2 linked regions of the Nothobranchius furzeri genome follow. The protein of the gene in region 2 purifies or fractionates together with the protein of the main gene of each other region. This does not show direct contact. Links are inferred from orthologs where the notes say so. Each region holds a gene or a part of one and is shown on either strand. Other genes may lie near its edges.

Evidence for each region. The genes of interacting proteins can lie anywhere in the genome.
Region 1: the proteins of rbm28 (region 2) and rexo4 purify together in Homo sapiens (affinity purification with mass spectrometry; 3 studies listed by BioGRID and IntAct, with this or other methods). This does not show direct contact. The link is inferred for Nothobranchius furzeri from reciprocal best matches to the Homo sapiens genes RBM28 and REXO4.

Annotation. Positions count from the first base shown.
Region 1 is NC_091756.1:33,914,821-33,919,678, forward strand, and holds the start of rexo4 (RNA exonuclease 4), read right to left. Parts: upstream 3,072-4,858; 5' UTR 2,831-3,071; coding exon 2,633-2,830; intron 2,560-2,632; coding exon 2,255-2,559; intron 2,172-2,254; coding exon 2,025-2,171; intron 1-2,024. Other genes in the region: pigp (phosphatidylinositol N-acetylglucosaminyltransferase subunit P), read left to right, coding at 3,527-3,608, 4,365-4,437, 4,525-4,643, 4,752-4,858.
Region 2 is NC_091744.1:71,909,706-71,914,834, forward strand, and holds the end of rbm28 (RNA-binding protein 28), read right to left. Parts: intron 5,047-5,129; coding exon 4,911-5,046; intron 4,787-4,910; coding exon 4,722-4,786; intron 4,628-4,721; coding exon 4,469-4,627; intron 4,394-4,468; coding exon 4,244-4,393; intron 4,043-4,243; coding exon 3,968-4,042; intron 3,891-3,967; coding exon 3,782-3,890; intron 3,459-3,781; coding exon 3,329-3,458; intron 3,126-3,328; coding exon 3,011-3,125; intron 1,448-3,010; coding exon 1,310-1,447; 3' UTR 1,070-1,309; downstream 1-1,069. Other genes in the region: leptin-like, read left to right, coding at 1-60, 135-482. UniProt on the Homo sapiens protein: Nucleolar component of the spliceosomal ribonucleoprotein complexes.

The sequences.
Region 1 (4,858 bases), on a different chromosome or scaffold from region 2:
CCCCTCCCAGATGACCGAGCTTCTCACCCTATCTCTAAGGGAGAGCCCAGACACCCTGCGGAGAAAACTCATTTCAGCCACTTGAATTCGTGATCTCGTTCTTTCTGTCACTACCCAAAGCTCATGACCACAGCTGAGGGTAGGAACATAGATCAACTGATAAATCGAGTTTCACCTTCTGGCTCAGCTCTCTCACCACGACAGATCGATAAAATGCCCGCATCACGGCAGACGCAGCACCAATCCCCCTATCGATCTCATGCTCCATCTTTCCCTCACTCGTGAACAAGACCCTGAGATACTTAAACTCCTCCACTTGGGGCAGGACCTCATCCCTGACCCGGAAAAGGGATTCTACCCTTTTCTGACTCAAGACCATGGTCTCAGATCTAGCTGTTGAACCTTTTCATTTGGAAACAACCTTATTTTTGCATAAATACTGAATCTGGTATGACCAAATTACACACGGGCAAGTAAATTTTAAATAAAATGCATCAGTAGGTACCTATGTCCAGTGTTGGGAACGTTACTTTAAAAAGGTAATTAGTTATAGTTACTGTTTACTTTGTCAAAAAAATAACTCAGTTACTTACCGAATTACAAGATTATAAAAGTAACTAATTACCAAAAAAAAAAATTTTTGTTGCATTTTTTCATTAAAGAATGCAAGATAAATGGGTTCCCCTCTTAATTAAACTTACTTAGTTTACTATAAATTACTACAATACTAAACTATAACTGACTAATGACTGGAACATAATAAATTATATGTCCAAATGTTTGTTATAAAACTGGATCATTTAAATAAATGGGCTCTTAACAGGAGGAACTACAAACAGGAATATTACACCAATCTAGAATATTAAAATGTCACTGTGTGATATTTAACCAGACCCCAATCAGCTAAAGTTTATAATTGCAAACAGAAACACCTGTAAAGGTTACTGAGCCTTTAAATGGTCTCTCAGTCTAGTCAAATTACTGTAATAAATGTAATTTTGCAAAATATTCTCATTTTTCCAGCTTGACATGATTGTGTGTTTTTAGCAGCATTTCTGTTGCTGGTAATCTAGTAATGGTTAAATAAATAAATAAATCCTTTAAAATGGCACTAGAAGTGGCACAAATCTGATGGAGGACTTAAATTTACTAATTTGGATCAGACCCAAACACAGAAGCTGGGTGGTAAAGACACACAGGTAGTTCTAATAACACCTGAGCACCATGACGTCTGAGACTGATGCATCAGTGTTACAGCAGGGCTAAAGAAATGAGCAGAAACAAGTTACAGTTGGGTGATCTAGGAAGGTAGAAGATCGTGATGTCCGAGCGGTGAACAGGTGAGCGGACCTTCGGGACGTCCCGCTGTCACGGCAAGAAGGGCACGGCTGCAGATTCACGCCTGCAGCAGCGAATCTGCGGATCTGCAGCCGTAGACTATTCATCACGTCTTCCTCGTTCTTCACGGGTCGTGATGCACTTGGATTAAAACATCCGCCTCTTCAGCTCCCGAGCAGCTGACAGCTTCAACACACCACGCTGCTGAATTACTAACGCTCGCATTTTCTTATCAGTAACGTAAACGGCGTTATGATAAAAGAAGACGATAATTAGATTACTCGTTATTAAAAAAAACTATTTTTTTAGTAATGCCGTTATTTTAAACATTGTTATTCCCATCACTGCTCGACTAGATTTTTTTATTTTACTTCTTTTTTTATTTCTTAAAATGTGTATACATAGAGCAGTTGCCTTGCAGCAAGAAGGTCCTGGGTTTAGTATTTATTTTGATACTCAGCACAGTCTATTCTAGTACTTGTGGTTCTAGTCATAAATCCAAAATTTAAGGAATGAATTTGGAATGGGTGTCCACCAATGACTACACTTTAGCTTTTAGCGCCAAACTTGAAAAAATTTCCTTTTAAACTTTAAATGTTTCACACAACGTGTGGTCAGTCATATCCTGGAAATAAAGTCCTGTCCAGCGTTCACACTAGAGGAAGCTTGTTTTTACAGCTACTCACCCCTCAAAACACTTCTCCTTCACCAGCATGCTCTCTGTGTCTTTGCTCTGGTGTTTGCCCTGTTTCCTCCTCAGGATCTCTGCAGCTTCTGCTCCCAACGTCTCCTCAGCATCATCAGGATCTACATCATCGAACCAAAGATCGTCCCTGCAACAAAACACAATAAAGAGTTAGGAATACAAAACTACTCTGGTCCACAATGTCTTCTAAAATCAGTACGGTGTACACACTCTGTAGGCTTCCTCTCCTCTACCACTGGTTTATTCCTCTTGGCTTTCTGCTCGCTGTTGGACTTTCCTTTGTCCCGTTTCCTTTTAGGAGCAGCTGGCTGCGGAGTGTTGGAGGCAGCTGGAACATCAGAGTTCACCTCTGATTCCTTTTGAATGGCAAATTTAGGAGCAACTGTGTGCTTGACTTTAGTCTCATTGTCTTTTTCACTGGGAGTCTTGGGAATATTTTTTAAAGTTTTCTTTGGAAAGACATTCTGTTTGGGTGACACAGGGAGCTTCTTCTCTGGCTTACTGGCATTTAGCATCTGTGGAAGGTTTCAGAAAAATCAGATTAACTTTGTAAATACACACCAGCATCACACTGATGCACAGACAAACCTCTTGGAGAGCTTTCCAGTTAGAGGAGAACTGCTGAGCCTCCTCTGGAGGTGTAGGCAGGTGAGGTTGGTGCTTCTGAGGAGCTGAAATCTTCTGAAATTTGTTTTTCGAGTTGTGTTTTATCCAAAACTCCTTCCTCTTAACTTTAGCTGTGGATTTAGGGTCAGAATGTGCTTTCTTCTTCTTCGCCTTAGACATTATGGAAAGTGTTTTTTAACAAGAAGTTGTTAAACTAAACGTTGTCAGCCATGCTGACATTTCAAAAACAATAGACAATGGCTGTTACCGCTGTCACTTAAAGTAATGTCTCCTTACCAAAAATCTGCATCAAAAATAAAACACTAACGTAAACAAGCAGCTCATTTTTTACAGAACAGCAGATAAACGTGGTTCTGCGTTCAGTTCGCAAATTCCGAAGCCATGCTGCGTTCGTTTTCCCGGCTGAGCAACAGCCAAATGGGTCCGATATGAACAAGACATCCCAGTATGAAACGTTCTACATAGTTTGAAAGCACTCTAATATTCAAATGTTTATTTTCTGTAAATATGTACTAAATCATATAAATTAGTAAATCTTCAAACAATTTAATTTGATGTCATATTTTTGTCTAGTGTATCAAAAGCGGAACTGCTTACCCGGGAAATTTTTCCGACCGAACTAACGCTGGTGCAAACTCGCAGCTGTTCTTAGGTTTTGTTGGAAATGTTTCCTGTTAGTATTATTTTAGAAATCCAGCTTTATTTACTCGTTATTTAGAAACGTAGGGGCACAAATGTTGTGAAAATTCGGAAATTTTATGAACTGAGGTAAGATGACAGAAGTATTTAAGGATGTTTTAGACTCTGGTTTGTGTTGCTTGCTTATTTCCTCTGCTTCCTGTTTGGTTTCAGATCATGGTTGAAAACTCTCCGTCTCCTGTCCCCGAGAGAGCTATTTATGGGTTTGTTCTCTTCCTTGGCTCACAGTTTGGTTTCTGTAAGTCAAAAATAATTATTTTATTCTGTTTTGCACACACACACACACTAGAACGCATCTTTTAGGTGACAGGTCAAGACTGTTCTTCCTGTATAAAATCAGAAGTAAATGATCTTTATGTTTACCTGTAAATGTGTCTGTAGTGTTTTGTTTTATTTTTTATATTCATCCTAGCTAATACACAATCTTACGTTTGTCTTGTGTTTTTAAAAGCTGACACAAGTAAAGATGGAAGACAAAACACAGCGGTGATCTCAACACTTTAAAGGATACACCTTTGTTAATTTTTTTTCACAACTCCCATGTGTGGTGTCAGGGTTAGCGTCCAAGCAGCAATGCCCCTAAAACAAAAACAGTTCTATTTGTTTGGACATCTCTGCTTTTGTGGCAGCTCTTTTCTACCTTTATGGCAGCCATCATATGACTGATTGACCATGTTTAAGTTTAATTATTTAGTGTCCGTGTTCAATTTAAACAAATGTTCGACTGTTTAAAGAAATGTTATTTGATTAAACTCCTAATCACACATTTGAATGTGAGGTTAGATTATTTCTATTAGAAGAAAGGCTATTTATTATGATAATTTAGCTTCTCGTATGTTTTATTCCTCAATGCACATCATGACCTGCTGACATAAATCAGTGCCTGCAGTCTCTTTAAAGTCAAATGCTAGCTATAGTTTCCCAACTCACTGAGTAATTGTGATTTAAGGGACTGAAGATAAATAATAACTATATTTCTCCTCCCTCTCCACAGTTCTGTACTGCTTGTGGGCATTTATACCAGAGGAGTGGCTGCATTCAATTGGACTCACATACTGGCCTCAAAAGTCTGCATCACCTTTAAAATCCAGATCAGATTTCCCACCGACATTTGGCATTTGGGATTTCTAACAAAAACTCCCTGTTCTGCACAGATACTGGGCTCTTGCAATGCCAATCTACCTGCTGGTTGCAATATCGGTGTCATTTTTGGTGTTGTTTGGGATAAACATGACCAACACTGCTCCACTGGACTCTGTGGACAACATCACAGGTGAGGTCTGATAGCATCCCAGCTGTTATCTATGAAAGGAATAAGTGTCAAATAGCAGTTTAAAAACTAAATATTTAGTGTACATTTTGTCTTGTTTTTGTGTTACAGATGTATTCGCACAAGGCCAGAGGGCCGACAGCGACTGCAAAGGCGGAGTTCCTCGACTTAAAGATGTGTCCGTTAGTGAGGTCAACAGAATGTTTTATTTGTCCCCT
Region 2 (5,129 bases):
AAAGTGAAAGTGGGCAAAGATGCGGATACCCTGATAATCAGGCTGACCCAAAACTTCCAGGTATTCATGAATAAAATTGTGCTTTTTTATAAAAAGAAGCTTTGTTTTGGACTAAATAATGCTCGTTTTTGCAGATGCCTCCCAACCTGACACTCAGCCCACCCAGTACAGAACTGGCAGGACTTGCCTCCATAGTAGCCACCCTGAAGGGTTACAACAACCTGATCTCTGACACTTTTGATGGCGTCGCCCAAGTCAAATCTGAAATCTCCGATCTGACAAATTACATCAATCAGTGGAGACTGGAGCACTGCAGGAACCAGCCAAGTAAGCCTCTGGTACCAACGGACAGCACGACCAACGTTCAGCACCTGCAGAACCAAAAACGATTCGTTCACACTGTGAGCATCGTGGCTCTTATGAGAGTGAAGGAGGTCCTCGGTCAGCTACGCAAAAACCCGGATCTTCTAGAAATATGCTGAAAAATGGACACAGATCAACGTCTGAATTGAGTTTAGTGATATTTTTACAAGGTTTTGGAAAAACATGCACTTATTTTCATACATAAATTATTTATTCTGTGTATTTTAACACCTAACTGTTTTTTAGCTACATAACTGCAATATTTAATCTGTTTAATATATATTTTGCACATAAGGATATTTGTGAATATGTCTTATGTTACCTCTGTTGAGTCAACTTGAGATGATTCAGCACTAAGAAGACTGACCGCAGAGGAAATTATGTGAGCAGGACTCTCATCCCTGGACTTTCCAGTGATCCAGGTGGGAATGTTTTATTATCAGCAGATGTGTTTGTATAGAGCCAAAGGAACCAGTCGGATAAAGGGCAACTTTCCCTATTGTGCAATAACAATGTGCTCCAAACTGACTATTTAAAACCAAAGAGGTTAAATATGTTTTTCTTCAATTGGTTCTGTTTTATGTAACTTTTGCAACAAAACTGATGCAATATTAACCCTCGTTGTCGGTGTTGTGTAGAAAACGTCCACGTAAACGGATCAATAGAATAACGTGAATAATAAATGACGTGAATACCTGGAAACAAATGACTTTTTTTTCTCATTTATATATATTTTAAAAAGACATGTACACAAAAACTCATTTTTACATGATCTACTTGTTGCAGTGACGGGTAAAACACTGACACTGCTTTAAAAATCACTGAAAAGATCTGAATGAAACATAACATATGGAGATAACTTCCTGTACAGTTTATCACATAAAAGCGGTTTTGTGTTGTTAAATCTTAAAGTTACAGACCACTATTCTCACTCAAACTCTGGTATTTAGTTATCAAACCACTTGTTTCTTTTAACTGTGTTGTTTTGGCTGCTGCTGCCCATCAGTTTCTTTTTGTACTGCTCCACCAGAGACTCAAAACGGTCTCCATCCCTCCTCTTAAACTGCTTCCTAGCAACTTTGACCTGAAAACACACAAAACAGAAGAAATAAGAAGGTTTCACACTTAAGGAATTAAATTAACTAAAAATCTACTTAATTGCCAATTTTTTAATCTTGAAAATTATCCATTAAAATGGTCTAGTTGTTGAATATTTACATTCTTATGGCATCACACAACCAATCTGAAAAACAAAACTTCTCATGGCTAAGCTTACTTTTATCAGATAACTCGTCCATAGAAAGTTCAAGATTAATTTTGCTGTTCAATATTTTTAAAGATGATTCAAGAGAAAAGGAAAAAACTTCAAAGAAACATTTTCTGTACTTTTTAATTCCAGATTTTTATTTTATCCGTGATTTTCAGTTAAATGAATAACTTCTATAAACCCGTCAAACAGTTAGTGGATAACTACCTGTAATTAATGACTAGTGGTGTGTGTTTAAGGCTTAATCTATGTAACATCTTGAACTTGGGATGCTCAGATCCGATCGTGAGATTTTAAACGATTGTATTTGAGCTTTTAAAACAACAAACATGACTTTTAAAACTCATCCTGATTAAGAGATTTTCAAACTGAATAACAAAGATTTAGTTTTATTTCCAACAAGTTCCTCTACATGAATATTATTTGTTTCTTAGACGAAAACAACACTGTAACATCACACGATTACAGCAAACAGGGATTCAGACACCATAACATGTAGTTGCTTGTTAGCTGGCTAACGCAGAGCTAACGTGTCTCCTCAGCAGCGTGAAAATGTCTTTATTCTGGTGGCGTTTTAAACTGGCCTCAGATGAAGTGTCACAGACACTTGTGATGTGTGCAATCTGAGCATTTAATTTGGTGAAAATGTAGAGCTGCGTTCAACACTATGAATCTGATACGCCGCCTTCAAAACAAACTACTTTCCCTTTAAGCTTTTCCCTTTAGGTGTCACCAAAGAAAATCACCAGTCTCCATTAAGTCCCAGTTTCCCAATAACAGTCCCAGTTCACTGCGATGAACGTGGAGCCAGCCGACAGTGAAAGACACGCTAATAATCAAAGAACAATTGCCAACAGGCTGTTAAGCATTGTGTTTTCCCAGTCCCCTGTAGCACCTGAGATGCCCACGGTGGTTACAAATGTTCTGCAGGAAAACGTTACCCTGCTGGCATGGCGCCGGGCTCCTGCGCCATTATGAAAACGTGCATCGCTCAGTACATCCATATATTGAGGGATTAAACAACTTGAAATATGAGCAATGCTGCTACTTTTAAATATATTCATAATATTAACATGTTTGTCTATCAGTGTAACTCCTAAAAAAACCTCTTTACTTCTTATTTTAATGCTTTGCTGAAAAGTATCGCATCGGGACTCGGTAGGGGCAGAGACTCAAAATCAAACGACTCGGATTGGAAGCAAAAAACCGTCACAAACTATATTTCAATTTTAAACTCTAATCTGAACATTAAAAGCCAAAAAGCATTTATGATTTGATACCTGGTAAATGTACTGTTGGAAAACCTGTGCGTTACATGTTTTGTTATGACGCTCTCAGAAAAAAACTAAACATAAATCACACAATAGAAATGATTTCAACCTGGTTTCTGGGTTGCTTCGGCTTTTCTGTTTGTTGTCTTGGTTGTTTGTTCTTTTTAGCTCCAGGCTTTGGACTCTTAGCAGGTGGGGCCTGTTTCCTGTCTTTGTCACGTTTTCTGCAAAGAATAAAAATCAACGGTTTACTTTTGACTTTAGAATGCATTAGTCTGTTGTAATCAGCATGTAGACCAAAAGAGAGAACAACACATAAAACAGATTTATCTTAGTAAAATCTTCATAAAAGCTGTTCAATTATAGTATTTATTGAGAGTTTTATAAAGATAAACACAAACTTATAAAGAGTTTAGAAATTATGTACCTGATCTTTGGTCCCCGGTGAGAAGGAAAAGGCAGAACCCTCCTGCGCTTCTTTCCATTTTGTAAATCCACATGCTCGACCTCAGGTTTGGTCTGAAAACCTGAAAACTTTTTCATTTGTTTCTCTTCTTCTGTTAAAGAAAATAAACAATATATAATTATTACTAATGCCATGTGGACTCTTATTTATCTCATTATTAAAAAGACGAGTTGCATGTGACGTGCACACTTGTAAAAAATTTGCAAAAGTGAGCAAAACATAATAAGGGTTTACCAACTTTTTATTTTAAACTGATTTTAGACAACGATGACCAAGAGCTTTAATTTCAAACCACTTCAACAGTTTTTGCACAACGACTGAATGGATTTATTATCTTATGCAAATATTAGGAATGTTATGTCACCGAAGCACAAACGTCACTGGACAATTCCTCTGTTCCACTTCCTGCCTTACCTGTGTGCTCTGACTGTGCTTTATTTCCACCTTTTGTTTGTGTTTTGACCTCTGCAGATATTTGGGACTTCTTTGTTTCCCCCTTAAGAGACCGAGTTTTTAGGAAATCCTGCAAACATAAATGTTTCTATTGAGAAACTGAGATTTGAAGCTGTAAACCATCCCAAAACAACTTTAAAAACATACCTTCTGTTTTTGTTTTCGGATATCTTTGAGTTTGAGCTTCCTTGAATCCTCCAGGGAAAACTCAACAATTGGTCTCTGTAGGAAAACACAAAACATGAAGTTGTTTTAGACTAACGATGCTGATTTCATGGGTAGATCCACAAGTTCTTGTATCTTTGATTTACAATAAGGAGGAAAAATGACATATTTTGACTTTGCAAATTAATCGCTATGATGTTTTAAAAAAATTGAATAATTTAAGCCTAAACACGTAATTTAAAAATGATACAAACCTACCTTTTGAGGGCCAAAGATATTAGGGTTGTTGTTCAGGTAGCGCAGAGTGCACAGAGCCTGCTCATGGTCCCGGAACTGAACAAACCCGTAGCCTAACGACTGTCCCGTCACCTGACCCTTCTCTGGCTTCTTGTCGTACATGACTCGGCACTAAAAGAAGCAGCACAGGATCAGCCCAAGATCACAAATCTATATTTAAAATTTAAATACATTCCGTAATTTCACCTCTGTGATCCACGCTCCTTTGACACCTTTCAGAGCTTGGAGGCAGAGCGCTTTGAGTTTTTTATTGTCCACCGACTTGGGCAGGTTATGGATGCACAGACGAGTCTTCGACACAAACACGTTAATGTCCCGAAGCTTAGCCCTCTTTACTTCCTCAAACTAAACAAAAAAGCACCAACAATTAGGAAAAAGGGGGAATTTAAGACTGAAACTGATCGTTCATATCAAGAAATGATGTGTGGCATGTACTCACTCTGGTTCTTTTAATCATGTCTAACTCAGATACGCCCTCTGCTGCCTTGGTTCCAGCACGGATCACTGAGGATTCAGACAAGAACGTAAAAAAAAATTTTGAAGCATTTCAGCATAACTGTTAATCAGATTAAAATAGTGTCACATTATCAGAGAGATGAGTGAAAAACAAGCAGCATGACACACGCACATCCCTCTCGGGCCAGGTACAGGTTCCTGCTGCCCGTCTGTACTTTCTTCTGATCCACCTTCAGCTTCGTGGCGTCGTCTCTGCTCACGGCTGTGACGATCAACAGCTTTCTGCCGTTCACACGAATGCCACCCTTCTACATTAGAACAAAGATGCAACATCAACTCAACCAATTATGTCAAAGAGTAACAGAAAACAAAGGAAAAGGTTACAAATGAA